Linked DNA regions of Medicago truncatula. The protein of the gene in region 4 binds, or shares a complex with, the protein of the main gene of each other region. Links are inferred from orthologs where the notes say so. Each region holds a gene or a part of one and is shown on either strand. Other genes may lie near its edges. The genes, in order: protein PLASTID TRANSCRIPTIONALLY ACTIVE 12, chloroplastic; protein PLASTID TRANSCRIPTIONALLY ACTIVE 7; thioredoxin-like fold domain-containing protein MRL7 homolog, chloroplastic; protein PLASTID TRANSCRIPTIONALLY ACTIVE 14.

Region 1 (6,858 bases), about 9.1 Mb from region 4:
GCCGATGTCTCGGCGACTGGCATTCTACGACGCTTTACTCAGCCAATTCCAATCAGCCCCTCCGCAGGTAGTCCTTTCCGAGCCACCGACAACCAGTTCTAATTACAATTGATAAGTATCTAAATACTTAGAAAATCCGCCCTTAAATACTTAGAACCAAACCACTTAAATACTCCACTGGGCACCCCATAATATCCAAGTCCCTATCAAGTTGATTATCAACTAAGCAATAGGGATCTCACAATTCATACCTAGTAGACTTTCATGTGTATAGGAGTATGTCTTAGATGGACAACTTATTCTCATGCCCTTCTCTAATTGCTTAAACTTCTATGCGTAGGATCTAGAGGTTGTTTGGCAAACAATACTAAATACAGTTGAATGATCATAGAATCATAAAAAGGAAGATAAAAGGATAGATAACAAGACGACTCAAATAAAATAAAAACAAAGACATGACAAACAAATATTAATTTCAAAGTCAATACTTTGCTTTATCTGATCCTCCCTCATTCTCATTGCTAAAGGATCCCTTCGGATGCGAACATCAGTCCCCATCATTACACGATACTCTCGGTCAGTTTGGTTGGAAAACATTTCAATTAGTTGAGTAGTTTCATCTTCACCAGTCTCTTCGAAATGCTTCTGAATAGCTTCATGAGATGTGTCTCTCTTCCATGCCTTTACCCATTCGGAATAGTACGCAATTGGACCAATCCTTTCCAGTTTCTCTTGCTCAGCCTCAAGCCTGCAAAAATTGGAAATTTTCAACATTTTCCTAGTAAATTTTTTCAGGTAACTCTCCTTATAACAAATTCCCATGACATATTGTGGTAAACTTTATCAGGTTACTCTCCTTAATCCATGATGTTAATCACATCAAGTAATTTACTCATTCTTCAAGAAACTACTGTTCAACCTTTCTATTGAGTTTCTTGTTTGCAGTACTTCTTATTTCTTATATGTTCTGCATTAAGATTCACTACAGAAAACGCCAGTTTCATTTCTATTCTAATCAGAACTATGTTGTGAGCATAAAAGTCCGCAATACCTTTCTTCCTTATAAAGATGGCGCCTGGCTCGGTAAAGAGCAGTTTCTGTTAATGTTGGTTCTTCACCATAAAGCTTTACTTGCCCAGTTTCTGCCATGGCTTTCAGGAAAACCTGAAAATATTATAGAGAAATTCAGACACAAGGTGTAAGACTGCACAAAACCGGTAAATGCATACACAGACACAAGCACACACATTGTAATTACAGCATCAAAAAACTTTTCCAAGACAATTTAATGCACACTAACCGTTTCAGTGTCAGGTCTCCTCCTTTGCCATCTGGACCATTGTTCTTTCTCCGGCTTTCTCCAATTCCACCACAGTTCCTCACTCGTAAGTGTTCCTTCTATCGGCTTTTTAATTTTCGGATCAATAAATGGATGAGGAGCTCCAAATTTCTTATCAAGTTTGTACTCAGTCTCTTCTTCCTCAGGCTCAGACTGATAAACAACATAGTCGGACGTGAACTCCTCAGAATCTTCTTGAGGTTCAACCAAAACCTCAGGAAGACCAGGGTCATCCAATTCAACATTCCCCTCAACGTTACCCTCAGAGGAAGAACCAGAAACCGAAGTTCTATAACTCTTCCTCCTACTACCAGGGTTACTACCATATGACGGAGAACCTAACGATTCTCCCATCGGAGTAGGCGCCCTAGCAGCCCTGACTTGCTCAACAGTTCCTTCAGGCCAATACTCAACTTCAGGAATACTTGCTCTAGCACCCGAGGCCGGCTCAAGCTGACCAGAGGTGGAGTCCATGTAACTATAATAAGGTGGACGTTCAACTGTCACATAATCAATAACTTCATCTTTATTTTCTTCATCTTTCTTTATTTCATCATTCTTTTCACATCTTATGCAACTATATGAAGGTAACTTCTTTCTTGATTTTCTGAAACCAACTCTACATGGTAAATTGCCAACACCCACCAAGTACGTTGATGTCTACATGGTCGCAAGCATTTTACACTATAAATTAGCTCCATATTACATGTTATAAAGTAATACAACATAGGGTCGGTTTGGCAAGCACGATAAGCTAACTTGTAGCTGCTAGCTTATAAGCTCGTATGACTAAAAAAGACTTGTTTGGTAACTATCATTTTCTCACGAGGTAATCTTAATTGAAAAAAAAAAAAAACTTAATATTAATTGAACATTTCTTTTTTATTTCATATTTACAAGCTAGTTCAGCGGCCAACTTTACCAAACATTATAAATTCAATCAGCTACCTTATCCGCTATCAGCTAACTTATCAACCATCCATTATGGCTCTGTTTGGCAAAAAAAAAAAAAAAAAAAAAACAGCGCATAGTTGATAAGCTAACTTATAATGGATGAACTTATACCGGATAAGCTAACTGATTGAATATGTAGTGCTTAGTCAAATTAGTTGTTGAAGTAGCTTGTAAATATGAAATGACATAAAAACTATATGTTTAATTAATATTTAAAACTTTGAAAGAAAAAGTAATAAGCTATAAGCTAATTGAATTAACTTAACAAAATAAGATATTAGCTAGTAAAAATGTTAAAAAAACGAGTCTTTTTTTTTTTCTTTCTAGCAAACAGAAGCATAATGAAACAAGATATATAACTTTAAAGGAAAATAAGTGATAAAATATGTAATTCTTGAGTTTATTCAATTCTAAAATTGATTTTTTTATATATATGGTATGAATTAATGAAATGTAAAGTGGGTTTAAGAAAGAGTATTGAAGAAACCCAGACGGTAAATAATTAAAGTTTGGAAGATGCTAACCTGAAAATGGTTGAAGGACAAGTTGGGTAGAAGATTGGCTTGAATTAAAGACATAACGGTGCCGTTTTGCAGAAGTTCAAACGTCGTCCGGAGAGGGAGAAGAACTCAGAAGCTCGCTCAACTCATCTGTTCTACCTCTATTGCTACACTACCTCCCTTATCATTTTCCATTTTTCTCTATTTCCTTTTTTAAAATGCTTAATATGTTTTAATTAATGTCTAAATGTTTGAATAAATTTTAGTGTGTTTGATTCTAAGGTAACTAAAATTGATTTTGAATAAATTCATTCTCACATGTTTGATTGTTTTTTTTTAATTTTGCTTGAATATATTTATAGTTCAAATTTAAATGAAAGAGAAGAAATTATTTTATGGGTTTAAATCTAGTTGAAGAAGAAAATATTAATCTATCTACTAACATTTATAACAAAAATAATCTCTTCATTTTAGTTTATAAGTTTTGTACACAAATTAAAAAATTATTTAATTGATGATGTGCATTTTAATAAAATACTCTTGACGATCATTAATTTTTTCTCACAAAACTATCATTAATACTTATATTCCATTGTTTTAAAACAAAAATAAAACGTTAAAACTAACATTTAAAAAGAAGGCTCTTGTTTCCTTAAAAAAAAAAAAAAAATCTTGCTACAACATTAAAACTTTAAGGAAGAGTCTTTCTCCATTTGGATTTCCACAAAGTTGAAAGAATCAGTTTCAATAATTGCGCACAAATGATTCCAAATTATAAAAAATACACTTCTAATTTTTTTTAAATCAAATAATCTAGCCACCATATGCTCACGGGACACATTTAATATATATTTTTTACTCGCACACATATAATAATTAAAAAATAAAAGTTCGATTGTTAAATACACATAACCGTGTCCCGTGAGCTCTGCTCGGTTGGTAGGGACAAATGCATTTTATATGCAGGGGTCGGGGTTCGAACCCCGGACACCCCACTCCTCCACATTTAAAATGTGTGAGCTCCAGCCACTAGGCTACCTGACCAAAAAAAAAAAAAAATACACATAACCGTTTTTATCGTTGTTTCAGTTATTAGGCCTTAGACTTGCCACCTGTGAATCTGAGGAGGATGGTCACATTCACTTCCACCTTTCTCTTCCTTCTCTTATCTCCTCTCATTTCATGTCTCTTGATTTTATCAACCAATCTTCAAACAATTAATCTGTAATTACAAATAAATCCATGTAATGGCATCCATGAAGCTGGGATCAAAGCCTGAAGCTTTTCGTCGTGAAGGTCAAACATGGTCAGCACTCATTTCTCTATATCAACATTGATCCTTATATTATTATATATAATATGTGACATTAACAATGTGTGTAATTTTGTTGTTGTTTTTGTTAATGTTCCCTATCTCAAAATAGAACCTTAAATTTCATTTGATTTTTTTGGATAGTGAGAATAGGTTTCTCAATTGTATCTACAAATTCCCTTACTTATTGGATAATTGACCATGATCTTATCTTGTTTTTTAATTTAAGGGTTTGTACAACAGGACTTCCAAGTGATGTTACTATTGAAGTTGGCGAAATTTCTTTTCTCCTCCACAAGGTACTTTTTTATTTAACTTTAAAACTTATTGCACACTTTTTCTTATAAATCCACTCACATAGTACCTCATACCACCCTAAAATAAGTGAAATATTGTTCTTAATGTAACATTAGTTAATTTATTTCAATATTATCCTTAAGTTAATTATTAGAACAACAATTAGTAACTAATTATTAAAGAAAACTTAAATCGGAAACAATTGAACATGATCGTTTGTTTATGTAGTTCGACCAATTGTGCCTACCTTTGTGACTAAATTTGTATATTACTTGAGTGAATTAGAGTTAATAACTAGTAACAAATGATTAAAGAAAACTTAAAATTGGAAACAATGGAATGTGGTCGTTTGTCGGTTCGGCCAATTGTGCCTACCTCTGCGACTGTAATTTCGTATATTACTTGAGTGAATTAGTGTTTACAGTGTTACAAGCCATATATATAGTACTACGGTTCATATTACAACAATACCCATGAACCATATCGGAGGGAGCTACGCTAGCTCAACTCCCCCGCCCCTTGCCCCTCCTATGTGTCTATGTATGAGCCATATTCAATATTAATATTATGTACATCATCAAATTTTGTGTGAGACCCAATGAATCAGTGGACGCGATTTTTAATATATCGAGACTCGTTCAAATTGCAACAAAAGTACAAAAATACAGTGAAATGTGTGTTAGAGAGTGTTTTTCAAAATTTCTATTATTTATAATTAAATTTTTGTCTTTGTTGGTCTATGCAGCATGTTAAATTAAAGTATATAATTCATGTTGGTGATTAGTTTTTTTCAACATTTGTGATTTTGATGCAGTTTCCATTACTTTCTAGAAGTGGACTACTAAAGAAACTAATTGCAGAGTCCACAAGTGAGGATGGATCAAGTAGTATTTTGCAACTTCATGATGTTCCTGGTGGAGCCAAAACATTTGAGCTCATAACAAAATTTTGCTATGGTGTGAAATTAGAAATCACAGCATTGAATGTAGTTAGTCTAAGATGTGCAGCAGAGCATCTCCAAATGACTGAAAACTATGGTGCAGACAATCTTATTGGTTACACAGAATCTTTTCTAAATGAAGTTTTCAGCAATTGGCCAGACTCCATCAAAGCGCTCGAGACATGCGAGGAAGTGCAAAACTTTGCAGAAGATCTCCATATTTTTTCTAGATGCATTGATTCCTTGGCTATGAAGGCTTGTTCGGATCCAGATTTGTTCAATTGGCAAGTGACAGGCCGTAATGACGCGAAAAATCAAGAGGAACATGAGTTGTTGAATGGAATGTCTTGTGAGAGTAAACCACAGTCTGTTGGTGATAATTGGTGGTTTTATGATGTGTCTTTGTTGAGCCTACCATTATATAAAAGATTGATTTTGGCTATTGAATCAAAAGGAATGAAATCGGAGACTATTGCTGCATCTCTTATATATTACCTTAGGCGGTTTCTTCCCTTGATGAATAGACAATCAAGTTTCAAAGATACAAATCATGCAACAATCCCTACAACTTCTGAAGCTGATCAAAGGGGTTTACTAGAAGAAATTGTGGAGTTGATTCCTAATAAGAGAGGTGTCACATCCTCTAAGCATCTCCTTCGGTTGCTCCGAACCGCAATGATATTACGTGCAAGTCCATCATGCAAAGAGAATTTAGAGAAAAGGGTAGGAGCTCAACTAGATCAGGCTTCACTTGTGGATCTTCTCATTCCAAATATGGGATACTCGGTCGAGACGCTTTATGATATAGATTGTATTCAGAGGATTCTGGACCATTTTATGTCTATCTACCAGCCTGCATCTTTATCTGCTTCTCCATGTATAACTGAAATTGGAACATTAATTGCTGGGGTTGATACGTTGACACCGATGACAATGGTCGCTAACTTGGTAGATGGATATCTTGCCGAAGTCGCTTCAGATGCTAATCTAAACCTGTCTAAATTTCAGGCACTTGCTGTTGCAATTCCTGATTATGCCAGACCCCTTGACGACGGTATATACCACGCAATAGATGTATACCTTAAGGTTAGATCATCTTGTATACCTTCCTTTGCCAATTCCATTTTTCATATGCACTCCTTTTCTATGCTTCAAGATTGTAAGATGTTTTGGCATAGTAGAAAATTTATGAAGAACTAAGATTGTGGAGGAAATAGTGAGATTTGTGATGATTTCAATGTTGATGAATTAATGAGTAAAAAAATTGTCCCTAAATAAAAATCATAGATTAAATTTCTATGTACATTTTCTTTCCTCAAAATTCTAATTACTGCTACTAAGTGTTGAGAGATGAGAAATAAGAGTTGAAGATGTCATATACAAGATGATATTTTGGAAACATCTATACACAAAATCGACATATTAAATATACTACTACTTTGTTTAATATATGTAAAAATCACAAAACATGGTTATAACAAGAAAAAGAGGTAGCAGAATAAACTAACAAGGTCTA
Region 2 (7,480 bases), on a different chromosome or scaffold from region 4:
TCAAAAATTAAAAAATAATAAATCTACTCAAAAACTAACAAATAAAAACATTTATAACAACTAAAATGTAAGTTAATAGCATTATAATTACTTACTTGTGATTTTGTTGAATAAATTTGGTTGGATTTTCTATAGAGATTTGTGAGAGAATTTTTTTTGAAGATAAGATGAATAATGGATGAGAGAGCTTCTGCCAGATTTGTAGCAAAAGATCCTCGGCAGTTAACTACCGAGGTTTTCCTCGGCAGTTAACTGCAGCCGGTTTTTAAATTCTTCGGCAGTTAACTGCCGAGTGGGCAAAAACGTATTTTACTCGTATTTCTCAGCCATATGAAATGTGTCGACAACTTTACTCGTGTTTCTCAGCCATATGAAATGTGTCAACAACAATTCTCATTATATAGTATTATATCAATATAATTGTGACAGTTAATATATATTACTATGTATTACTACAGTTAATATGTAGTGCTATCATTTTTCATTTCATTTCTTAAAAGAGAGAAAAATATCAAATCAGAAAGGACTATTAAAAGAGAGGATGAATACTATGAGAAATTGAGAATAGTAATAGTTCTTCCAATGCACAAGATACGGAATTAGATTTCCACGTGCTCTCGATGACTTTGATTTGCATGCATACAAACAACTGCGGCTAACTTAGACAGACATGAAGGCATCAACTGTGCTAAGTGAATCAAAGAAACAAGTTATTATCCCTAATGTAACATCTTAGCTTAAGAACTGTTATCTAAAGTTATGTATAAAACTCTTTCAAATAATGAGGCCCAGGTTTGAAGGGATCAGACTCAGCATACGCCTCTGAACGGTAAAATCCGGCATCATTCACCCGATTACTCAAAACATGAAGAATGGCTTTCTTCTCACCTCCATACTCATCCATGTTGCTCTCAACATAAGCATTGGCCTCGGCTGCTATCTCATTCACAAAATCATACTTATTATCTTCTGATAACAGTAACCTCTCTATGTCCAATTGCAAGAGTTTTCCCTCATCCTTTATCTTCCTCACCTGCTCCTCGAGAAAAGGAATGCGCTCCATTTTGTAGGGAAGAGATTCATCCTTTTTTATCTGCAGCAAAATGAGTTTCTGCTTAAATATTCAAGTTCATCGGGCCTGATACTCGTGAAACCTGTGTCAATAGCATGAATCATGTTCGCCAGCATAACCATTATGCATTCATTCAATCAATACAGTTAGAAATGAAGAAATAAAAGCATCTTGATATGCATACAGCTTCACTATGTGCATCAAGATTCAACGGAAAATGAGTATCTATTTTGAGTGAGAAACATGCCAAATACTGGGAGATGTGCAACCATGATAGAAAGAAGCAAAGACACGAATCAAATTTAATTTGGTTTATCTTTACCACATGAAAGCAGTTATCTTTTTTGCAAATCATTATGTTCATATCGACAAACACCTCAGTAGCAACAACAGTTGGGACATTAGGGAGTCCGGGGAATCATCACACTAGACCAAGAACAACTACATAATTGACTTGGACACCACATTTTAACCCAAAACATTAAGACATTGGGTGGATCCTCTGACACTTGATACACCAACAGCAACTACAACACTATAAAGGTCACATGCATGGCAAAGAATCCGCAAGAGAATGCAGCAAGGTGGTGATATCATGCAAAAACAAAGACATGAAAGCTTAGGCAAAACGACAGGGTGCAAATGTAAATATAAATGATGTGAGAACTACAAAATGTGATCCTTTTATATATCCTCTCTTGGCTCTTCTCCTCCTCATTCCCTGTCATGCTACATATTCCCTTACTGTGTTCTTTAATGAATCACTAGAGACTCTTGTAATACTTTTTCTTTTGTGAAGAATACAACATACAGTTCAAACACCACTTTTTTTTTTTTTTTTTCCTATGTTCCTCCTTGCAGCAACACATTGCAAATTACATCGCAAATGTTGTAGCATGTTTATTTACTTGGAACAGCAAAAACTATAACATACCTTCCAATATTCCCTTGCAGCCTCACATCACAAATGTTATAGCTGTTAATTTGGAACACCACAAATCTATAATCCAGATCGCTAATTCTGTTTCACAATTCCAGCTTACTTCTGTAAGTGTAACATGCAATCCAATAAATCCATCCACTACAAACTCTTTAACCTCTAGTCCCCTAACTTTCCAACTTTAGAATGTTACAATTATAAGTTTGAAACCTTTCCTTTCCGGAAAATGAGGAAACGGGGAAAAATTCAGCGCCTCTTCGCATTGAGCCTAATGTCCCAAGAGAACTACAAACACATTTACTCAACATTAATTCTTCCTAACCCTTCAAGCTAGATATATTTAAAATTAAAAATTTGTAACAATTTAGCCACTAATACTATTGACTACTGAGAAAGTTAGACAACACAATCTTTTCAATGCATTCTTTATTAATAGATGAAATTCATGTTAATTTCATTCATTTTATTTTATTATTATTATTTGGGAAATTTATACAAACAGGTAAGAGGCAAGCATAAAAAGAAAAACATTGTGAGACAAGAAAGATGGATGCAGAAGATACCATTTTCCTTCGCCTCCAGATTCTTCGTCCACCACTTTCCTTTCGCATTTGGATTACCATCTTGAAGAACAAATGCATGAACAAGTTCAGTTTCATGTTGCAAACAAAGAATTCAACAACTTTCAAAGTTATTATATTTATACCTGCGAGTTAACACTCAGGCTCGGGCTCCATGAATTTCCAGCTCTTAATTCTATCTTCTGCAAGAAAATTACAAGATTTTGAAGTAACAGTTTAGAAAAATATAAAGATTTGAAAAGAAAGATATGAAAATTACAGGTAAAGTCGAAGAGAGGGTGAATGTGTTGACGCGGAGAGCCATAGCTGGTATTTACTGTACTTTGGTTCGCCTTATCTCAAAACTATAAAGGAATTTTCTATATAATATTTGGATAAATAGTTTTTTTCTCCAAGAAAAATAATAATTTCCATCCCTATGAAATGAATAGTCATAAATAGTTCATCAATATGTTCATGTTTTAAAATGGTATTTGTGTACTAGTCAAAATAATTTCTAACATTAAGAGTCTCTCAACGGTGTATATAGGGACAGAATCAATTGACATCATTGGGTCAAATTTAACAATACGACACAAACGATTATTCTTTACTGTATAATTTTATTGCAAGACCGATTGTTTGATTGAAATATATTATAACATAAATCATATCTACAAAATTTTACATTAATCAAAAACTATTTGATATGTCAATTAAATACATCAAAATTAACTTGGTTTTCAATAGCTCATAAGACAATAATTTTGTGGTATCAATGAACATATAGAATAGTTTATAATTAATGTAAAATTTTGTACGGTAAAGAGTTATTGTCGATGTCATGTATTAAGTTTGACATGTTGGTGTCAATTGATCATATCTCATATTTTAACAAATGTGCACTTTTTCATTTTTATATAAAAATATCTTGTCAAATAATGCCACTAAAGCGGTTGTTGATAATAATCCTCTATTGGGATTTGTGGATGGTACTAATGTTGTTGATTCTATGCATCCAGAAGACATGGTTGCTCAAGGTAATGAGAATTTGAGTGATTTAGCAGGTACGGGACCCCTTTATGGTCAGGGTAATATTGACATGAGTTTTGATTCAGCTGACATTTTATGTCAAGATGATCATCAAGAGGAAGCAATATTAGATACAATTCCTTTGGGAGGTAACTCCATTGTGGTGACAAACTCAGACTTGTCAAACTTCAGTGCATCTGTTATTCATGACATGCAAGTTTTAGGAGTTGTTCCTACGGAGGCCCAACAAACGGTGAATTTTCTAAGCGAATCATGGGCTAACATGGCTCGGAACAATGAAATTGTTGATTTGGACGAAAATACGAGTCAACCATTTCAATTGGTGGTCCCTAGAAAGAAGAAACTCAAGAAGAAGCAACCTGAGACGGGCAGAGGATTCAAGGTGGGTGCTTCCAGCCGTTCGCCTCATTAGTTTGTTTTTTTTGGCTTTCTTTATGTTTTGGTTTTCTTTTGCTTTTTTGGAGGGTTTTGGTTTTTGTCCCCCCTGTTCTTTGTACTTTTTTCTTTCGTTTAATATATGTTTTGGGTACTGCAGCAGGAGACCCCTCTGCATCCCATCTTTTGCTTAAAAAATAAAAAAAAAATCTTGTCAAAAGTTTAAATTAACAAATCCTCGTGAGCTTATCTCAATTGGTAAAGATAATGCATAATTTATGCATGGATAGGGGTTCGAACTTCAGACACCTCATTTATTCACTTTAAAAAAAATGATTTTTAAACTGTTGAACCAAAAAAGAAAAAATATTAATGATAACTAAAAGACAAACATGTAAGTAAATTTCAATATAATTTACATCCAATTTGCTAATTTACAGCAACTTTATTTATGAACAAAAAGAATTAATGAAACATATTTGTATACATTTGTGTTTATTTTGATTTGTTTCATGTTTATAATTGTATCTTTCAAAATATAAACATGTTTATAATAAAGTAGGTCTAAGTTAGCAAAGTGAATTCAAGTTAACCAATATTTTTTTGATGAAAGTTACAAAATTAATTTTGAGATCAACTTTAATTACGTGGCAGAGTCTAGTTAGATAAATTTAATATCCCTGTCGTTATTAACTTGTTTTATTAAATAATTATTACTTTATATAATATTTAGTTATTAAAATAATTAATTAAAATATTATTTTTATATTTATTTTTTGGTAAAGATCAATATACTGTTATTTATTCATTACAATATTATTTAATTTAATATATTATCATCTAATGAATAAAACGTTATTAATATATTAATTTAATGATAAAAATATTTTGATAATAGATAAAATATTTTATGGAAAATGTTTTAATATTTTTCATCACATCCTTAATTTAGTATATTATTTTAATGATTAAAGGTTTACTAAATTAATAATTAAATATTTTCCATCACATTTTTAATTGAAATATTATTTTCCATCACATTTTCAATTTAATACGTTGTTTTAATAATGAAAATATTTTATAAAGCAATAATTATTGAATAAAACAACTAAATAATTTTTTTTAAAGAAAAACGAATGAATAATGACAATGTCAATAAATTTATTTTTTAAAATTTGATTCACATGTTTTTTTTTTTCTTTTTTGTTTTAAAAATAATTTTTTCTTCTAAAAATTTTAAAATATTATTTATTGTACCAAAAAAAATACACTCTTATAAGTAGGTGTCTCCCCTTTCATCACAAATCACAATCTTTCATACTCAACCTAATACTTTACTCATATCACTTTCTCTAATCTCATTTATATCATGTCTCGTTCATTACGCGTCATGGTTCAATTTGACCATATGAGAGATCCATTTGAAATGTATATAACTCCAAGAAAAACGTTATTAGGGTTGAATAGGCAACTTAGCCACTTTTATAACTTAGCTTGTAATGATCCTTGAAAAGTGACTCGAATTTCTTATGGGGAGCCTTTTATATATTGTTGGGAGATGGTAATGACAATGGCACTGTATATCATGAATTTAAGCTTATCCACAATGATGTTGATGCTTAAGACATGTTTTTGAACGAAGAAGGTAGAGAAAGAACAATTTATTTGTATGTTAAGTCTGAGTAGATTATGGTGGATCTCGACATTATGTTATATTATGTTTATTTATTTAAGTTGATGTAATTTTGCTTGAGTAGTGTTGTTTTAATGTTGCATTGTGTTTTTTTTGAAAGAAATTACATTTCACATTTATTTTGCCTTGTGTGATAATATATTTAATTTGCATACCGATAAATAATAATAAAATGACAAGTTAAAAGTTAATAACATTTATTGATGAGTAAGAATTTTTTTATGAGAATGTATGGTCAGCCGACACAATCCACGTTTTATCACCACTTTTCAGTCATAATGCAATTACTTCGGACGATCTCTTTTTAGTTTTTTCATGGTTAGATTGTGGCAAATGAAGATGCCTTGATATTGGGGCCAGTAACCCGAGTCTTTAACTACTTGAAACTTTGTGTTGTAGATGGCGTATTCACTTCATATCAAGACTACTCACAATCAAGTCACCAAGACCAAAGCTCCCAACAACCAACCAATCAATATTAAGACAACATACAAACCAGCTACCGATGTTGAGACTCCCAACAACCACATGAATACACAAGCCCCTTGAATCATACCCATATACAAGCACAACCCAACAACCACAATGGTCCCAAAAAGTGGTCGACAAAATATTGGGTAATTATCATGCAGTGAACTGTCTCTGGACTGGTTCTACCATTCACAATTGATTGACGCAGTTTGTCGAGTGTCGTCTAAATCAAATTGGAGGCTTTGCTCTAATATTATAAATGGGTCTGTAATATAAAAAATTAAGGGTAATTTGAACAATTAACAATTAAAAAAATTAGTTGGTAATAAAAATCACAAGTTAACACTAAATGTTGTTTTGATTTTAGTTTGCTTTGTTGCTAGTGGTAGATGCATGTGGTCTTCATTAGGTTTCACTTATTTTGTCCATTTATATGAGATAACAAGGGGCAACAAATAGAGGAACAACCAAATATGAAATGGCAAGAAAAAAGATGAACCATAAAAAATAAACAACTAAAGAAAGAGAAATAAAAATGGACCAATAGATAGATAAATCAACCTAAGAAGAAGAAGAAACAATCAAAGAGAATAACCATAAAAAAGAACAACCAAATGAGAAACAACCAAAGAATGAAAAATAATCTTATCAAAATTACATATGACCCAACAAAGACAACAATATAAGAAGAATTACCAACCAAAGAGAGAATCTGATAGAGCGATGAGTAACATAATAAGGAGAGACAATCGTATCAAACAATCATGCTAAAGAGAGGAACCAACATAGAGAATGTAAACAAAAGAAGGGACACTAATCAAAGAGAATGACCATTGGAGAGATGAACAACCAAAGAAGTAACAATCGTATTAATCAATCATAATGGAGTAACCAACCAATTGAATTTCAACCAAAGAAGGAACAATAATCAAAGAGAAGACAAAGAAATAGAAGAGCAACGAGAGAAGAAACAACAACCAAAGAGATGAACCAACAGAGAGACGAGCAATCAAAGAATGAGAAACAACCAAAAAGATGTATCAACATAGGGGAAAACAACCAAAATAAGGGTTTTCAACCATGTTAAAATGCCACGATGAAGAGAGCGACCGACCAACGAAGAATCCATTTGTAAAATTTTACCAAATCAATCAGACAACTTTCCCACAATATAACTCTAAACCAATAGAGAAGCACATTAATATAAGTATAAGCATACCAAAACAAACTCCACAATATAAGAAATCCAAGTTGCAAGAAACAAATTTCCTAAATATAGATAATACCTACAACAACATTTGCAATAAAAAAATTGT
Region 3 (7,026 bases), on a different chromosome or scaffold from region 4:
ATCTTAATTCTCAAAGTAAGAATCTCTCCCTTTGGATTCGCCAACGAATGGCGATTATTACATTAAACTTGTGTTCTTCAATGAATGTGCATTTGGTTGTATCTGAATTTATTTTGATTTTTTTAACATGGACAAAAACAAAAAGATTTTAAAAAGTTTATGATGGTTTAAGATAATGAAAACTGTATTACTTTACAGCCAGACAAATCTCAAGGAAAAGATTTCATATTCGATTTTCCTACCACATGCATTTTCAAATTTTGATCCATCACACAGACAGGCATGGCAACAAATCACTACCATACTCGTTTTAGATGATCAATTGAGAATGGAGGCTGGTCAACAAGATTTTTTTTAGGTTGGAATAGTTTTATATATTTAATTTCATATATTTCATCATTATTGTAATATAGAATTGCAGTGCTACAAGGACCATGTGACATTGAAAAAACAATTAATGACGTAAATACAAGGCCTTATCATCAACCCATGCAGGCTTCTTTGCATTGTAATAGAAAAATGCAATCATCTGAACCAGCTCATCCGCAGTTCTGAGTTCTGCAAAGACATAAGCAACAGTGCATCATTATGAGGATAGAACATAGACAGGAAGAGAGTGCATGCCTTGATGCCAAAACCAAACAAAAACTATGCTTCTGTTACACATTGAAGGTGAAGAGAATGAACAACAATCTCACCTTTCTCCCTGTACACCATCTTATTCCCTCGTAGAAACAAAATTTGAGGACATTCTCGAACTTTCAGGGCATAAGCCAAGTCTTTCTCGATGTTAATGTCAATCTTAATTGCCTACAATAGGAAATTTAAAGTAATACGTGATTATGGAAAACATAAGAGACTCCAGGTGTTATATGGTGAGGTTACCGCTTATAACACTTGTGTACTGATAAATAAAGGAAAAGATAAATCTAACTAGTGACTAGTGAGTGATCATGAAGTAAGGTTTATAGTGATGAAAAGCAGTCATCAATTTTTTCATTTCAGGTAATGTAATAGATGAAAAATGCAGTTTTAGTACACTGAAAAGAAATTGACCATACCCTGGGAGGTAAGCGATCTTTAGCACTCCAGTACACCTTTATTGCTTTCTCCAACTCTTTCAAATTTTTCCAGTTATCATTTGCCCTGTGGAATAGCAAAATCAAACACCAAAGGCTGGATTAAGCTATAAGTTGTTGGGGAGTCTAGAAGCATCAGGAGCAACAGCAAGCTGACTAGAACATGACATATTCACTCAAAAAGCATTGAGTATACAAAGTCACCTTTTTATATATCATTTATTTAGTCCAATCCTAACTAATGTGAGACTAATCATTCACATTTTAATTCCAACATAGGTACCTAGGAATTATTAAATCTATCAACATAACATTATATTAATGTGAGCATTTACATACACTCAAATTTTAAAATAAAAAATACATATAACTAACACAATTGTTACATAAATTAATTTCTAATACACTTTTTTATTTATTCCTACATTCAACCTATTGGTTTTTTGCCTTATAAATTACAGTACCTACGAATAAATTACAATCATCTTTTGGGAACAACTGACATCTTAAAAGCAAAAGGTAAGTAAATCATAGTCAACACAATATTTTGAAAATTTGGATTTTTTATAGAGAAGAATCAATTTCATGAAAGCACGTTAAGACTTAAGACATTATATACCGATTAAACTGAGTCTATAGTTGGACAGAAGCACTCAAGACTTGTTCACATGACTTCAAGCATATAACCAACAAATGCATGTTTTCTTTGAAAAGTGAGCATAAAAGTATATATCTTATATATGAAGTATTGCCTGAAATTTTACCATTTTTAACTCCATCAAAACCATATAAGAATAGGAATTAGTAGTACCTGTTATAGCGTTCAAAAACAAGTACGATTAAAGGGCTTGGATGGAAAGCAAAACTCTCCCACTCCAAACAATTGATCTCCTGAACCCAATTATCCTCAGTCTCCCCTTCCCAATCAATTTCAGCACCATCATCTCCTACAACATTCTTAATTGGATGCTTCTCAAAATACTCTGAAGCTCTTATTCCCCACCCGACATCTGTATCTAATGGCCAGCTCTCACTCTCTTCCTCAATCACCGCCTTCTCTCCACCACCATCTTCCTCTTCTTCCACCTCCTCCTCATAACTATCATCATTGCCCCGTTTTGGTTTTGATTCACAATCATCACCAACACTGTCCTTCATTATATCTTTATGATTCTCTAAAGCACTCGCATTTTGTTGCCGAATTGCAGCAAACGTGTTTTCCAGTCTGTCACGTACAAAATCTTCCACTTTCATCGCCTCACTTTTACGACCACGCCTTGGCTTCCTTGGAATTGTTGTTGGAAATTCATCCTCAGAATTTCTATCATCTTTATTAATGGATACACCATCTCCACTTTGGAAAATTTTCCCCTTGTTTTTTGGTCTTTGTTTGGATGTGGGATGATTAGGTTCGGGTTCGGGTTTTGAGCTAGAGTTAGTTGAAACAGAACATGATATTGAAATAGGCTTTACAATGTGATGAGTAGATAAAGTGGAATAAGATAAGAATCTCGAATGAGAAAAAGGTGAGAACGTTCGAGGCATAAGAGCTGTTTGGAGAATCAGCATTTAGTTGAATAGAAATTGAAAACTATGGTTGGGTAATTTTAACAAACAGTTGGTGCTCAAAACACGCGGGAACACAAATATTCACTAAACTAACTACTTACTATAATTGGGGTTTCAAACAAGTCGTGAAAAGAAGCTTCTGAGAAGAGAAGAGAAGAGAAGAGAAGGAACAAATATATACCTTGTTGTAGCTGTGATTATTTGAACGTTCTACTTTTCTTTTCCCTCTTCCTCCTAGCTCGTTGCTTTTTGGTAAGGTAACCATGCTATACTACTCAGTTTTCTGTATCGCCGCGTATGTATAACATCTTTTAATCCATTTCGGTAATTACTACTTAATAGTTTGAGCCATGCTACTTACACCTCCATAATTAGTAAAGAGGAATCACTTACAATTTGAATTCTTACATAAATATCCTAAGAAAAGAATATGCATCGTGTTTTTGTAATAATTAGTTAATCCTATGATTACGAGTCTTGCAATAAAAAAAATAAAATAAGAGTCGTCGTTTTATTGTTTATATTAAATAGTAAAAGATTTATTATAAAGTTAAAAAGAAGTATCTAAGTTTATGGCTAAGAGTAGACTTAGTTTGTTGGCGTATATCTGAGATATGTCTAATAAATGTTGGAATATTATTAAGAAATGTTTGACACTTGTGTTCAAGGCATCTATGAGAAGTGTTGGTGTTCAAAACGTATTTGACATGCAAGCATCTTAGCATGACCCTAATAATTTTGTTAACAACAAATTGATGTCGGGGTTATTATTGATCAGGTCAAAAAACTTGCTAACTTTTAGGTCAATTTTCTCTTTGATTCTCTATAATGTTAATATAAACTAACTCAAGTTGACGTTTCTCTTAACCATATAGATAATCAATATAGAGTAAGTTTTTGTTAACAATATAGAGAATCAAATAGAAGAGTAATCCAAAAACTCAAGGGTGAGATCCAACCCATTGAACACTTTCTATAACACCGTGCTAAGGTTTTTCATTGGCTAGCTCCAAATAAGATATGAATTTAAATATGCAAGTGTAAAAAAAAATGCAAAATCACTAGCACTACTGACAGAAAATGTCCCTTCTAAAACATGGTTAGGGTGAATGGTTGTAACTTGTAATTCTACAATTAGTTTTGTTTTTTCCAATGATACTTGTTAAACAATTTTTATACTTCATTCGTACACACATCACTGGTTAGTGTCACTTATTTTCATAACTTTGGCAGAAATTTATTCTATCCTATATTATTGTAGTTATAATCTCCAAGCTTCCAGAGACAAGGATTGATTGTCTTGTTCATCCCTGGCTTATTTATTTATGCACATGAAAAACTTAGCTAAGCTAAGAATCTTTGAATCTTTTTTTTCCTTACAAGAACCTGTAACTTATAGGAGAATAAGCGAACTGTATATTCTGCTAGCTTAATTCAGCTAATTCCTCTTTCGTGATCTCTAGCATAAATGCAACATAATCAAATACCTGTATGTAAAATGAAATCAAGAATGTAAATTTATCAGAATCGTTCCCTTTTCTTCACATTGCTATAAAAAATATCCCCAAGTTGTTTATTAAAGAAATAACGTTTTATAAATTAGGTCGAGATCAAACCAATGGTTCAATCGGTTCAACTATAGTTGAAATAGATGACAAATACATACACTAATTAATCGATTAAAAATAAAAATAAAAATGCAAAGATAAAACGGTTGAACCAAATGTGGTTCAACTGCGATTCAAGTAGACTGCAGTACAACTAGGATAAAACCAACGGACAAATTGGTCAGTTATCGGATCGGTTCAACCGGCATGTTTGGTTCAATTTTTGACACATTGATTCTAAGGCTTGCCACCCTTATCCATCAAAGATAACAATACATTTCCATCCCTGAAGTTAATCAAGTAATAATTTACATCCCTGAAAGTATACAACCTCCCTTAGGCAAAAGAAACCTACTGGTTGAATTGGTTTCATAAAACCTTTATACATGAAACTATATCATGAGAAAGATTTCTGTGTAATTTGAAACTAGAAGCAGCAGAGAGGTGGATTTTGAAAGCTTCGAAGAGGGACAATGCAACATATTCATGTATTAATTATCATAAAAAATTATTATTTTTCCATAAAGCGAGCACAAACTTGGAAGTTTTTATATTCTCGTATTAAAAAGCATAAGATATCTCCAAGAGAATGATATAATAAGAGATGCTTAATTTGAAAGAATAAGGTGACAAGAAAGGAAAATACTTGAGCAACTTACGTTATGAATGTTATCAGCATGATTGCGTGTTTCCTTTGGCAACATTGAAGCATCGGTTAAAAATTGGTACAAACTAGCGGAAGAAGTGTCGGCCTAGTTTGTTAGCGCATATCCAAGATATGCCAAATAAGTGTTTGAACGTCACTAAAAGATGTTCGACACAGTTGTTTAAGGTGTGTCCGAGAAGTGTCGGTGTCCAAAACGTATCTGACATGCTAGCAACTTAGCATGGCCCTACTAGTTTTCTTAATAACAACTTGAGCTTGGGGTTATCATTGAATTTGCATGTGCCAAAAAAAATGCAAAATTCACCTGCACTACAGACAGAAAATGTCCCTTCTAAAACATTGTTATAACAACATTGTATGAATGGTTGTAACTTGTAATTCTATAATTAGTTTTGCTTTTCTCCATGATACTTAGTAAACAATTTTAAAATTCATTCATACACACATTACCAGTGTCACTTATTTTCATAAATTTGCTTATATGCCTAGGACTTCACGTGGCAGAAATTTATTCTATCCTATATTATTGTAGTTCAAATCTCCAAGCTTCCAAATCAAATGATTGACTGTCTTGTTCATCCCTCACTTATTTATCCACATGAAAAGGACTGCCTGTCCTTGTCTGCAAGAGAATTCATGGTCACTAAAGTCTGCTCTGAACCGATAGTTCATGCTTCATTTGATCCCTCATCACCCTCCTCAGGATTTTGTTGGAAGATGTTCGAGGAAACTCGGGAACTATCTTAACAACGCTTACCTGAAATAATGTAATGAAAAGAGTTGGTTGTGAGCATTAGTTACATCAGTTAATCCCAAGTCAGTTCAGTTTTCAGTTTTCAAATAGTAAATAATAAGCTTCAATCAATTCATAATTGTTCAAATTCAACGAAAGGGGCAGACCTTAAACAAAGGATTTAGGTTACTTTGAATAGCTTTAGAGAATTTCATCCTTAGATTTTCCGCATTTGAATTGTATCCTTCCTTTAGAACTACAAATATAACAAGCTGTTCTGGGCCCCTATTTGCAGTTGCAACACCGACTGCAGCTGTCTCCAAAATGCACTCATCAGCCCTGTCACATACACGCTCAATTTCTATTGAACTTGTCTGCATATCAACAACAGAAAATTCTACGTGTAAATAACATTATCCAGTCCATATAATGCCAAAGAGCGATGTTCATGTTAAGTTAAACATACTTCATTAAGCCCAATAAAAGAATTAAATACACAGAAATTCTCCTCTTTTTTTCCATTTTCTCTCCTGACCTCCCTGGATTATGATTTTGACTACGCTCAGATTCATTGAAATTCGTAGTAGTTTTCTTATTATGCATTCTTCCTGAAAGAGTCACACCTTTATTCCACCAAGATTCATGGTGTCATCAGCCCTCCCCTGTACGATGATATAGCCACCAACCATTCTCTTGATTATATCTCCATGTCTCCTAAGAACCTGCTAATACATATATCATGATAGACATGACAAGTTATAGCAATAATAGCAGAACGAGACTAGCCAAAATTACAAATTAAGCCTATGTAATTTATAATGGATTGTTTGAAAATCCTTAATATATATCCAACTAATATACAGTACTTTTGGACATTTGATTTATCCAAAGTTCAGAATAAAAGATTTTCCTATCTTTTACGTCAAGAGTTGCACATGAAAACAACCCTTAAAAGCATTCAGAACACATGGTGAGTATATGTTGCCCTTCCCGAATGAAAGAACTGATATTTCAAAGTAGTTGTATTGAAATGTGTTGGTATTACATGACAAAATGGGAAAATCATTCTAAGCATACTAATTGAAGTAGTGGATACCTTTCCTTTATACAAGGGCATTCCCTTAAAGTAAACCTCATCATGGTCGCCATTCAGCAATCTATCAGATGCTCCAAGAGAGACAGGGAATAAACCCACTTCACCAACACAAGGAACATTTTCTGGCTGTCGTATTGGTCAAAGAGAGCAATAAATCAGAAAACCTATCAATAAGTTTAAGAGTGCAATAGAGACTGAAAATTACAAGAAAAGGTTTGCGAACATAGGGCTAGCATAAAAATAAGATTTGTACAGAAACAAGTATTGAAAATGAT
Region 4 (7,108 bases):
AAAAGTCTATCTAGTTTAGGCCAAACAATATTATAAGAATAAAAACAAAATCTGCACTCAGTAACGTTTAATATAAGAAAGGAATCACGAAAAGCATACTTCAAAGAAGTATAAAGTGATTTACCTCATCTCCCTTTCTTATCCGTTGTCCAGCATTTATAAGAACCTCAAGCATCCTGTCCTTAAAACGCCAATGGAAAAAACAATTTGGCTCAAACGAATGGTTCAGCATATCTGAAAAGCAAGACTAAGTTAATCAGTTACCTCTGTTGTTGTTTTATCAAAAAGGAAAGAAAAACTTTACATCAAATGTGAAATAAACAAGAACCGCTACTATGCATGAGTAGAAAATGATACAATAGTTGGTTAGACCATTTGATGTGAACAAAGCTTACCAGCATAAGGAATCAGCATATTCGCTTGTTGAGTTAGTGCACACATTCTCATTTGCATGTTGATACAGCGTGACTGTGCAATTCCTACTGCCCACATGAATCTTTGAGGATCACGAGCAAGACGTTTTACTTTGAGCGGCACACCACTATGCTGAACAAGAGTAACACCATTTGTTGAGAACAAAAACTAATTGATATGCATCATAGAAGACTAAAAATTTCAACAAGGACAATTTTCTCTCTACCCAGTTCTTCTCCCAGAATTCTAACACTCGTTGTTGCTGAACTCTCATTGTAGAAGCAAGATCGGGATCCTGCAGCTCCAAAAGTTCCTCCTAGATATACAAATCAACATGAGATGTCGTAAAGTGAACTCTAAAACTGTGGTATGTTCCAAATGTAGCTATTCAAATCTTAAAATTACAAGATACATCTGATGCTGGCTAAATATCAACCAATGGTTTAATGATAAAGAAAATCTATTTTTTATGCACCTCTGTAGCTAGAAGTAAGCTAGTACTTTCATCTTCACTGGGTAAGAAGTCACCGTAATACTGCCAAAAGTTGTCTTTGCAGTCAAATGAAAACAAGAGAAGGCATGCTAATCGTAAATCCCAATCTGTCTGCCACAAAGATTTACACAATTACTTTAAGCAGATAACTAGAAAAACTAACGGTTTTGATTTTTTTGAGTATATACAACAGTTACAATACAAATTGGTTAAATATATTTTACCATGAAAACAATCAAGAAATCAATTATATCATATTTTGAACTAATGACTTCAGAGGAGAATTGCAATTACCTCTGGATTTGTTGAGTTGATAATATCAAATATTGGATGACCAAGGGGAATTATATCAGGGAAAAACATCCATGGTAGTTTCTTGCTTATGGTTAGCATCAATTCAAGAGGAATTTCCATTATAACCTGCCCAAGTTCATCGTTAGGGAAAACAGCCTTGGACAACTACTCAGAATATAATCATGAAGAACATCATACAAATAATTAAACTAACATGTAAAATACAAATTAGGAGTTGATTATATGTGCCGTTATTTTCATTATGATGCACTGCCACCAGTCTTACATAGGATTTGTATGAGGCTACTCACCCTTGGTCGGCGAAGAGGTTCGACATCTTTAGAAGCATATACACCGAAACCATTTGGCCCTTCCATAAAATCAACTCCATAAGCTCGCATACTTCTGACGAATCCTATCTTGTAGAAATCAGGATCTACAGGCTCCAACTACAGGAACAAATAAATTAACACAAAGAAACAATATCACAACTCAATATCCCAATTTCATAAAAACAGACGACCCTTTAAAGAATTCATCCAAAAACTGGCCTTATAGGAATGAAGATACTGCATCTCAAAATTAACTTTACTCTATTATACACACAAAAGCACATCAAATTATTGAACCATCCAACATTTTAAATTGCAATCACAGTCAACGTTTTGTTGCAATCTTTGAAATTGCAGAAAACTCTGAGCAATCATGTAGCAGTGAGACTTTAAATTTAAGGCATGTCCGAGTGTCCGACACTGACACGACATTGACATGTGTGTTTATATACAATCACTTTCATCGTCTAAAATTATAGGTGTCTACATGTCGATATCTGTATAATGTCATGTTTCAGTCCTTCATAGACAAATATCATTGATGGGGCCGCAAATGCAGTAACAAAGGTCTCTAAAACTTTCACATTGCAGTTGCAATATCAATTAAGAACCTTTATTCAAAACCTTGGAAACAACATTCACTCACTCAACTCAATCAACCTGTTGGGCATAACTCATAGTTAATGATAAGTGAATAGGTTGCTCGAGCGAAACAAGAGCAACTGGGGTAACATTATAATCTGGACCGTAGTCTTTGAGTACAAGTTGTATACTCTAAACTCACAGAAAGGAATCGCAGCCGCTCTTCTTTATGTAGACATAGGCACAATTGACCGAACTTTGTTACCAAACATCATGTTCCATTTTTGCATTTTTCGTATCTTTATTTTCTTAAACCGAGCTGTTGTTTTAACACATTCCAGGGCCGGCTTAAGGGTAAGACTACTAAAACACTCCCTTTATGCCCACCAACAAAAAGGTCTCATATGCACCCAAAAAAGGTAACATTCTTTTGCATATATAAACTAATTTAACATTCCTTAGTCCTAGTTGTTACTTTCAACCTATAAATAAACAAACAAGGTGCAAAATGGGTTTTTACCTGAGAAGCTGTTTCTTCATCTTTAGGAGGCTGAAACAAGGGAAATGGGGCAGTTTCGACAGAAGCTTTAACAGGTTGTACTTTGTTTTCAGCACAAGAACCAAAAGAGTAAGTGGGTCGCCACAAATAACCATGGCGCAAACCTTTGAACTGTTTAGAAAGTAAACAAGTATTAGTTAAAAGTTATTTGAGATTTGAGAGAAGAAAAAGATGTAAAAATGGAAAGGGAAATGAAGTGAAGTAAACTGAACCTGGGTTTTTGAGAAGAAACTTGTTTGATAAAGTGGAAAAGAAGAAGCCATTGAGTGAACTCAAGAGTGGAAAATGGTAAAGACAACGTTATCCAGCATTTTATGTTCCTTCTAGAGTGATGTCACGTGTTTTTTTTTTTTTTTAAAAAGGCTTAAATGTTATTTTGGTCCTTAATATTTAATTGGAAAATGATATATCGTACGAAAATTTTGAATACGGAATATTACGGACGCGTGAAAACCTGTTAGTGCTACGCGCTGCTGTTTCTTTGTCAAAAACAAACAATATTAAATTAAATAAATAATAAAATCCTTTAATAGAAATGAAAGTGAAACCCACCGTTCACCAAAACAAAAACATACAGAAAAGAACCCACGTTCACCACTCCCGCAGCAATTATCTCATCTTTTCCGCTAATCAAAGAATCTGATTGACATTCAATCTCAATTGTTGTGATATAAGGTCGTCGTTCTCTTTTTCACGCTCTTGTCTCTTTGAATCAGGTCTCATATTCATTCTCATGTAACTCTGTTTTTGCTTACCATCATAGCTTCCATTGATTCATAGCACTAAAGCAGAGTATTTCAGTTTTAATTTACCTACAAGTAAGTATTTTGTGTATTTGTTGTTTTTATAGATTATTAGAAGGAATTTTGTGCCGATTGATTGATTTTTCATTTACTTTACTGTGTTAGTCAATTAATATAGGTTTTTTTTCTTCTTCTAATTTGTTGTGTTAGTGCAAAAAGGATTTGAGTCTTGTGATGAATTGGAAACTAATGATTGTTTAGAAGCAAATGGTACTTGTGAAGAAGAAACACCTTGTGATGGGATGTCATTCGGATCTGAAAAGGAAATTACTGAGTATTACAAGAATTATGCTGAACGGGTGGGTTTTGGAGTTAAAAAAATAAGTTCAAAAAAAGGAGATGAGGGGAAAATGTATTTTACTTTAGCATGTAGTCGAGCTAGAAAGTATGTGAGTCGCCCAAAGAATATGTTAGAGCCAAATCCTATAACTCAAACGCAGTGTAAGGCTAGATTGAATGCGTGTATTTCTTTAGACGGAACAACTAAAATTAAAAGTGTTTTTTTTGAGCATAATCATGATCTAAGTCCAGGGAAAGCAAGGTATTTTAGATCGAACAAGAATATAGGGGCACAAATGAAGAGGAGGTTAGAACTCAATGACCAAGCTGGGATTAATGTAAGTAGAAATTTCCGATCCTTTGTTGTTGAAGCAGATGGGTATGAAAATCTCACATTTGGAGAAAAAGACTGCAGAAACTACATAGACAAAGTAAGACGACTACGACTTGGGACAGGAGATGCTGAAGCAATACAAAATTATTTTGTGAGGATGCAAAAGCAAAACAGTCAATTTTATTATGTGATGGATGTGGATGATGAAAGTCGGTTACAAAATGTGTTTTGGGCAGATGCAAGATGTAGGGTTGCATATGAATATTTTGGTGAAGTCATAACTTTCGACACCACTTACTTAACAAATAAATATGACATGCCTTTTGCTCCTTTTGTTGGAGTAAATCATCACGGTCAGTCTATGTTGTTGGGTTGTGCTCTGTTATCAAATGAGGATACTGAAACTTTTACTTGGTTATTTAAGACATGGTTGGAATGTATGCATGGAAGTTCTCCAAATGCCATAATCACTGATCAAGACAGAGCAATGAAGAATGCAATTGAGATTGTCTTTCCGAAAGCTCGTCATCGGTGGTGCTTATGGCATTTAATGAAAAAGATTCCAGAAAAGTTTGGTAGTCACTCTGACTACGAGTCTATCAAAACACTTTTGCATGATATTGTATATGATTCTTTTACCAAAAGTGATTTTATGACGAGGTGGGAAAATATGATTGAGTGTTACAAACTACAGGATAACGAATGGTTGAAAGGGTTATTTGTTGAGCGACATCGTTGGGTCCCTGCATATGTAAGGGACACATTTTGGGCTGGAATGTCAACTACACAACGAAGTGAAAGTATGAACTCGTTTTTTGATGGATATGTAAGCTCAAAGACAACATTGAAGCAATTTGTTGAGCAATATGATAATGCATTGAAAGACAAAATTGAAAAGGAAAACATTGCTGACTTTCGTTCTTTTAATACAGTTATTTCTTGTATTAGTCACTTTGGCTTTGAGTTCCAATTCCAAAAAGCATTTACCAATGCAAAGTTTCAGGAATTCCAATTGGAAATAGCTTCTATGATGTACTGTCATGCATGTTTCAACAGATTGGAGGGTTTGGATTCAATATTTTATGTTACAGAAAGTAAGAAAGTATATGACACGATGAAAGATATTGTGTTGATGGTGTTCTTCAATGAAAAAGACTTTGTGTTAAAATGCACCTGCTGCTTGTTTGAATTTAAAGGCATTTTATGTAGGCACATCCTTTGCGTGCTTAAGCTCATAGGGAAAACAGATTTCGTGCCATCTAATTATATTTTGGCACGGTGGAGGAAGGATATAAAGCGGAGGTATACACTTATTAAATGTGGTTTTGATAATTTGGCTGGAAAAACTGAATTGCAACGCGTGGGTAAAGCTTGTGATGCCTTTTATGAGTTTGCTTCAACGAGGATAAATAGTGACGATGATTTAGTGAAAGTGATGAAATTGATTCAAAACATGAAAATTGAGTTACCATGTAATGAAACATCTCCTAGAATTGTAGAAGAAGATTGTTCAACTCAAAATCAAGCTACCATTCTTGATCCTAAACTAGCTCGAAGTAAAGGGCGTCCTCCTTCAAAAAGGAAGACTTCTATAGTTGATCAGATTGTAAAGAAGAAGCTTGCACAAAAGAAAACTAAAAAAAGAAACCAAAGTAGTAAAAATATTCAAGTTCAAGAAGAGGTGAGTATGAAATTTATAGCAAGTTGTTTATATTATAGGTATAATAGTTGAGATGTCTAATTTAATAATTTTTATGGCAGGGCCAATGTACATCTAGAGGTCAAGAAATTGAAGACGAAGTGTTTTACATATCTCAACTTGGTGATAGAATTGGCACACAAGAGAGCATTCAAGTAAACAAAGCATATACTAAATATTTTAGTGTAAATATTTCTATGTAAATATTTTAGTGTGAACATAGTTCTAAATGGTTGAATGGTACTATTTATGCAGTTGAACACAGTAGTGTGTGTGTGTACATGTGGGTGTGTCTAATTATAGTTTTTTTTATGACAGGGACTAAGATTGCATGTAGTTCAAAATACTACAAATGAAGAGTTTCTTAGGTATCAAATTTTTGATGGGACTGGGACACAAGACAATATTCAAGTAAACCTGATTTCTTACTTTCATTTAATTAAAAATGATTGGCCTTTTGTTATTTGAAATATTCAATATGATATTGCATACTATTTATCTATGTTTTTGCATGTTAATATCTATGACAGGAGCATAACTATGTTTGTAGCAGTGAAAATGGTAGTGTGAATACTGTAGCTTCCTTCAATCCAAATCAAGAACATTTTGGTCAAGTAAACAAGGTGCAAATATAGATTTTGGTGTTGTCTTGTTTTTATTTGACATTTTTATAATGAACATAAGTGGTTAATTATATATTCTTTGCAGGCTCCTTATTACTCTCGGGTCACAAAACCATAACACTGTTGTTTTTGGTTTGAACTGCTGTCTGGTTTTTCTGCAATCAAGGCATGAGGGTCTGCAGGATTGTTGTTTAGTGATTGTTGTTCTGCTGTTTAGTGTTTGCTGTTTTGCTCAAGCAAGTGTGCGGCTGCTTGAAATTGTGTTGGAATATGCTGTTCTGCTGTTTAGTGTTTGTTGTTTTGCTCAAGCAAGTGTGCGGCTGTTTTGGTCAAGCATTATTGTTAGATGGAATGGGTTGTTTAGTGCTAGTTGTGTGCTTTTTTTTTGGTTCAGTTTTGTTGCTGCTTCAGTGTTTTTTACCCTTTAGCAGCAACCAAATTTGGAATATAAAGCTTCTGTTTTTAGCTTTGTTATGGGTGGTTTTGGTAGGTGGTTGTATTAGTGTTCATGTGTACTCGTTACTTCTTGTTTGATTTTATCCGCGAGATTTTCGTGTTCCTTACACAATCTCGACGAGAATAATTTGCCGATTAAAAAAAATCTATAGCTTTTATTTGGAAGGAATATCATGTTATTGATGCCAAAAGAAATACTAAAGAATATTAAAACTTGAAGTACACAAATTGATGTTAGAT

Evidence for each region.
Region 1: protein PLASTID TRANSCRIPTIONALLY ACTIVE 14 (region 4) and protein PLASTID TRANSCRIPTIONALLY ACTIVE 12, chloroplastic share a complex: the UniProt entries of both Arabidopsis thaliana proteins name them as parts of the transcriptionally active chromosome (TAC) complex. The link is inferred for Medicago truncatula from reciprocal best matches to the Arabidopsis thaliana genes PTAC14 and PTAC12.
Region 2: protein PLASTID TRANSCRIPTIONALLY ACTIVE 14 (region 4) and protein PLASTID TRANSCRIPTIONALLY ACTIVE 7 share a complex: the UniProt entries of both Arabidopsis thaliana proteins name them as parts of the transcriptionally active chromosome (TAC) complex. The link is inferred for Medicago truncatula from reciprocal best matches to the Arabidopsis thaliana genes PTAC14 and PTAC7.
Region 3: protein PLASTID TRANSCRIPTIONALLY ACTIVE 14 (region 4) and thioredoxin-like fold domain-containing protein MRL7 homolog, chloroplastic share a complex: the UniProt entries of both Arabidopsis thaliana proteins name them as parts of the transcriptionally active chromosome (TAC) complex. The link is inferred for Medicago truncatula from reciprocal best matches to the Arabidopsis thaliana genes PTAC14 and MRL7.

Annotation. Positions count from the first base shown.
Region 1 is NC_053043.1:5,999,524-6,006,381, forward strand, and holds the start of protein PLASTID TRANSCRIPTIONALLY ACTIVE 12, chloroplastic, read right to left. Parts: upstream 3,004-6,858; 5' UTR 2,872-3,003; coding exon 2,818-2,871; intron 2,000-2,817; coding exon 1,301-1,999; intron 1,165-1,300; coding exon 1,052-1,164; intron 749-1,051; coding exon 489-748; intron 1-488. Other genes in the region: BTB/POZ domain-containing protein At5g03250, read left to right, coding at 4,041-4,099, 4,335-4,404, 5,217-6,428. UniProt on the Arabidopsis thaliana protein: Involved in plastid gene expression. Acidic transcriptional coactivator necessary for the transactivation of many PIFs target genes (class B genes), particularly during the regulation of hypocotyl growth.
Region 2 is NC_053044.1:45,255,938-45,263,417, reverse strand, and holds protein PLASTID TRANSCRIPTIONALLY ACTIVE 7, read right to left. Parts: upstream 3,002-7,480; 5' UTR 2,898-3,001; coding exon 2,853-2,897; intron 2,776-2,852; coding exon 2,719-2,775; intron 2,636-2,718; coding exon 2,576-2,635; intron 1,094-2,575; coding exon 758-1,093; 3' UTR 528-757; downstream 1-527. UniProt on the Arabidopsis thaliana protein: Essential for chloroplast development, especially for thylakoid formation. Involved in plastid gene expression, probably by maintaining plastid-encoded RNA polymerase (PEP) activity.
Region 3 is NC_053049.1:39,794,139-39,801,164, reverse strand, and holds thioredoxin-like fold domain-containing protein MRL7 homolog, chloroplastic, read right to left. Parts: upstream 3,028-7,026; 5' UTR 2,649-3,027; coding exon 1,891-2,648; intron 1,147-1,890; coding exon 1,062-1,146; intron 811-1,061; coding exon 699-810; intron 559-698; coding exon 455-558; 3' UTR 349-454; downstream 1-348. Other genes in the region: probable acyl-activating enzyme 18, peroxisomal, read right to left, coding at 5,566-5,679, 5,823-6,029, 6,279-6,380, 6,752-6,877. UniProt on the Arabidopsis thaliana protein: Plays an essential role in early steps of chloroplast development. Involved in the regulation of plastid gene expression. May positively regulate plastid-encoded RNA polymerase (PEP) activity through binding to FSD3 and CITRX/TRXZ.
Region 4 is NC_053043.1:15,106,436-15,113,543, reverse strand, and holds the start of protein PLASTID TRANSCRIPTIONALLY ACTIVE 14, read right to left. Parts: upstream 3,020-7,108; 5' UTR 2,938-3,019; coding exon 2,887-2,937; intron 2,786-2,886; coding exon 2,636-2,785; intron 1,651-2,635; coding exon 1,513-1,650; intron 1,328-1,512; coding exon 1,202-1,327; intron 1,019-1,201; coding exon 890-1,018; intron 731-889; coding exon 641-730; intron 547-640; coding exon 396-546; intron 235-395; coding exon 125-234; intron 1-124. Other genes in the region: protein FAR-RED IMPAIRED RESPONSE 1, read left to right, coding at 3,492-3,492, 3,628-5,771, 5,852-5,944, 6,108-6,200, 6,320-6,412, 6,498-6,530. UniProt on the Arabidopsis thaliana protein: Essential for chloroplast development, especially for thylakoid formation. Involved in plastid gene expression, probably by maintaining plastid-encoded RNA polymerase (PEP) activity.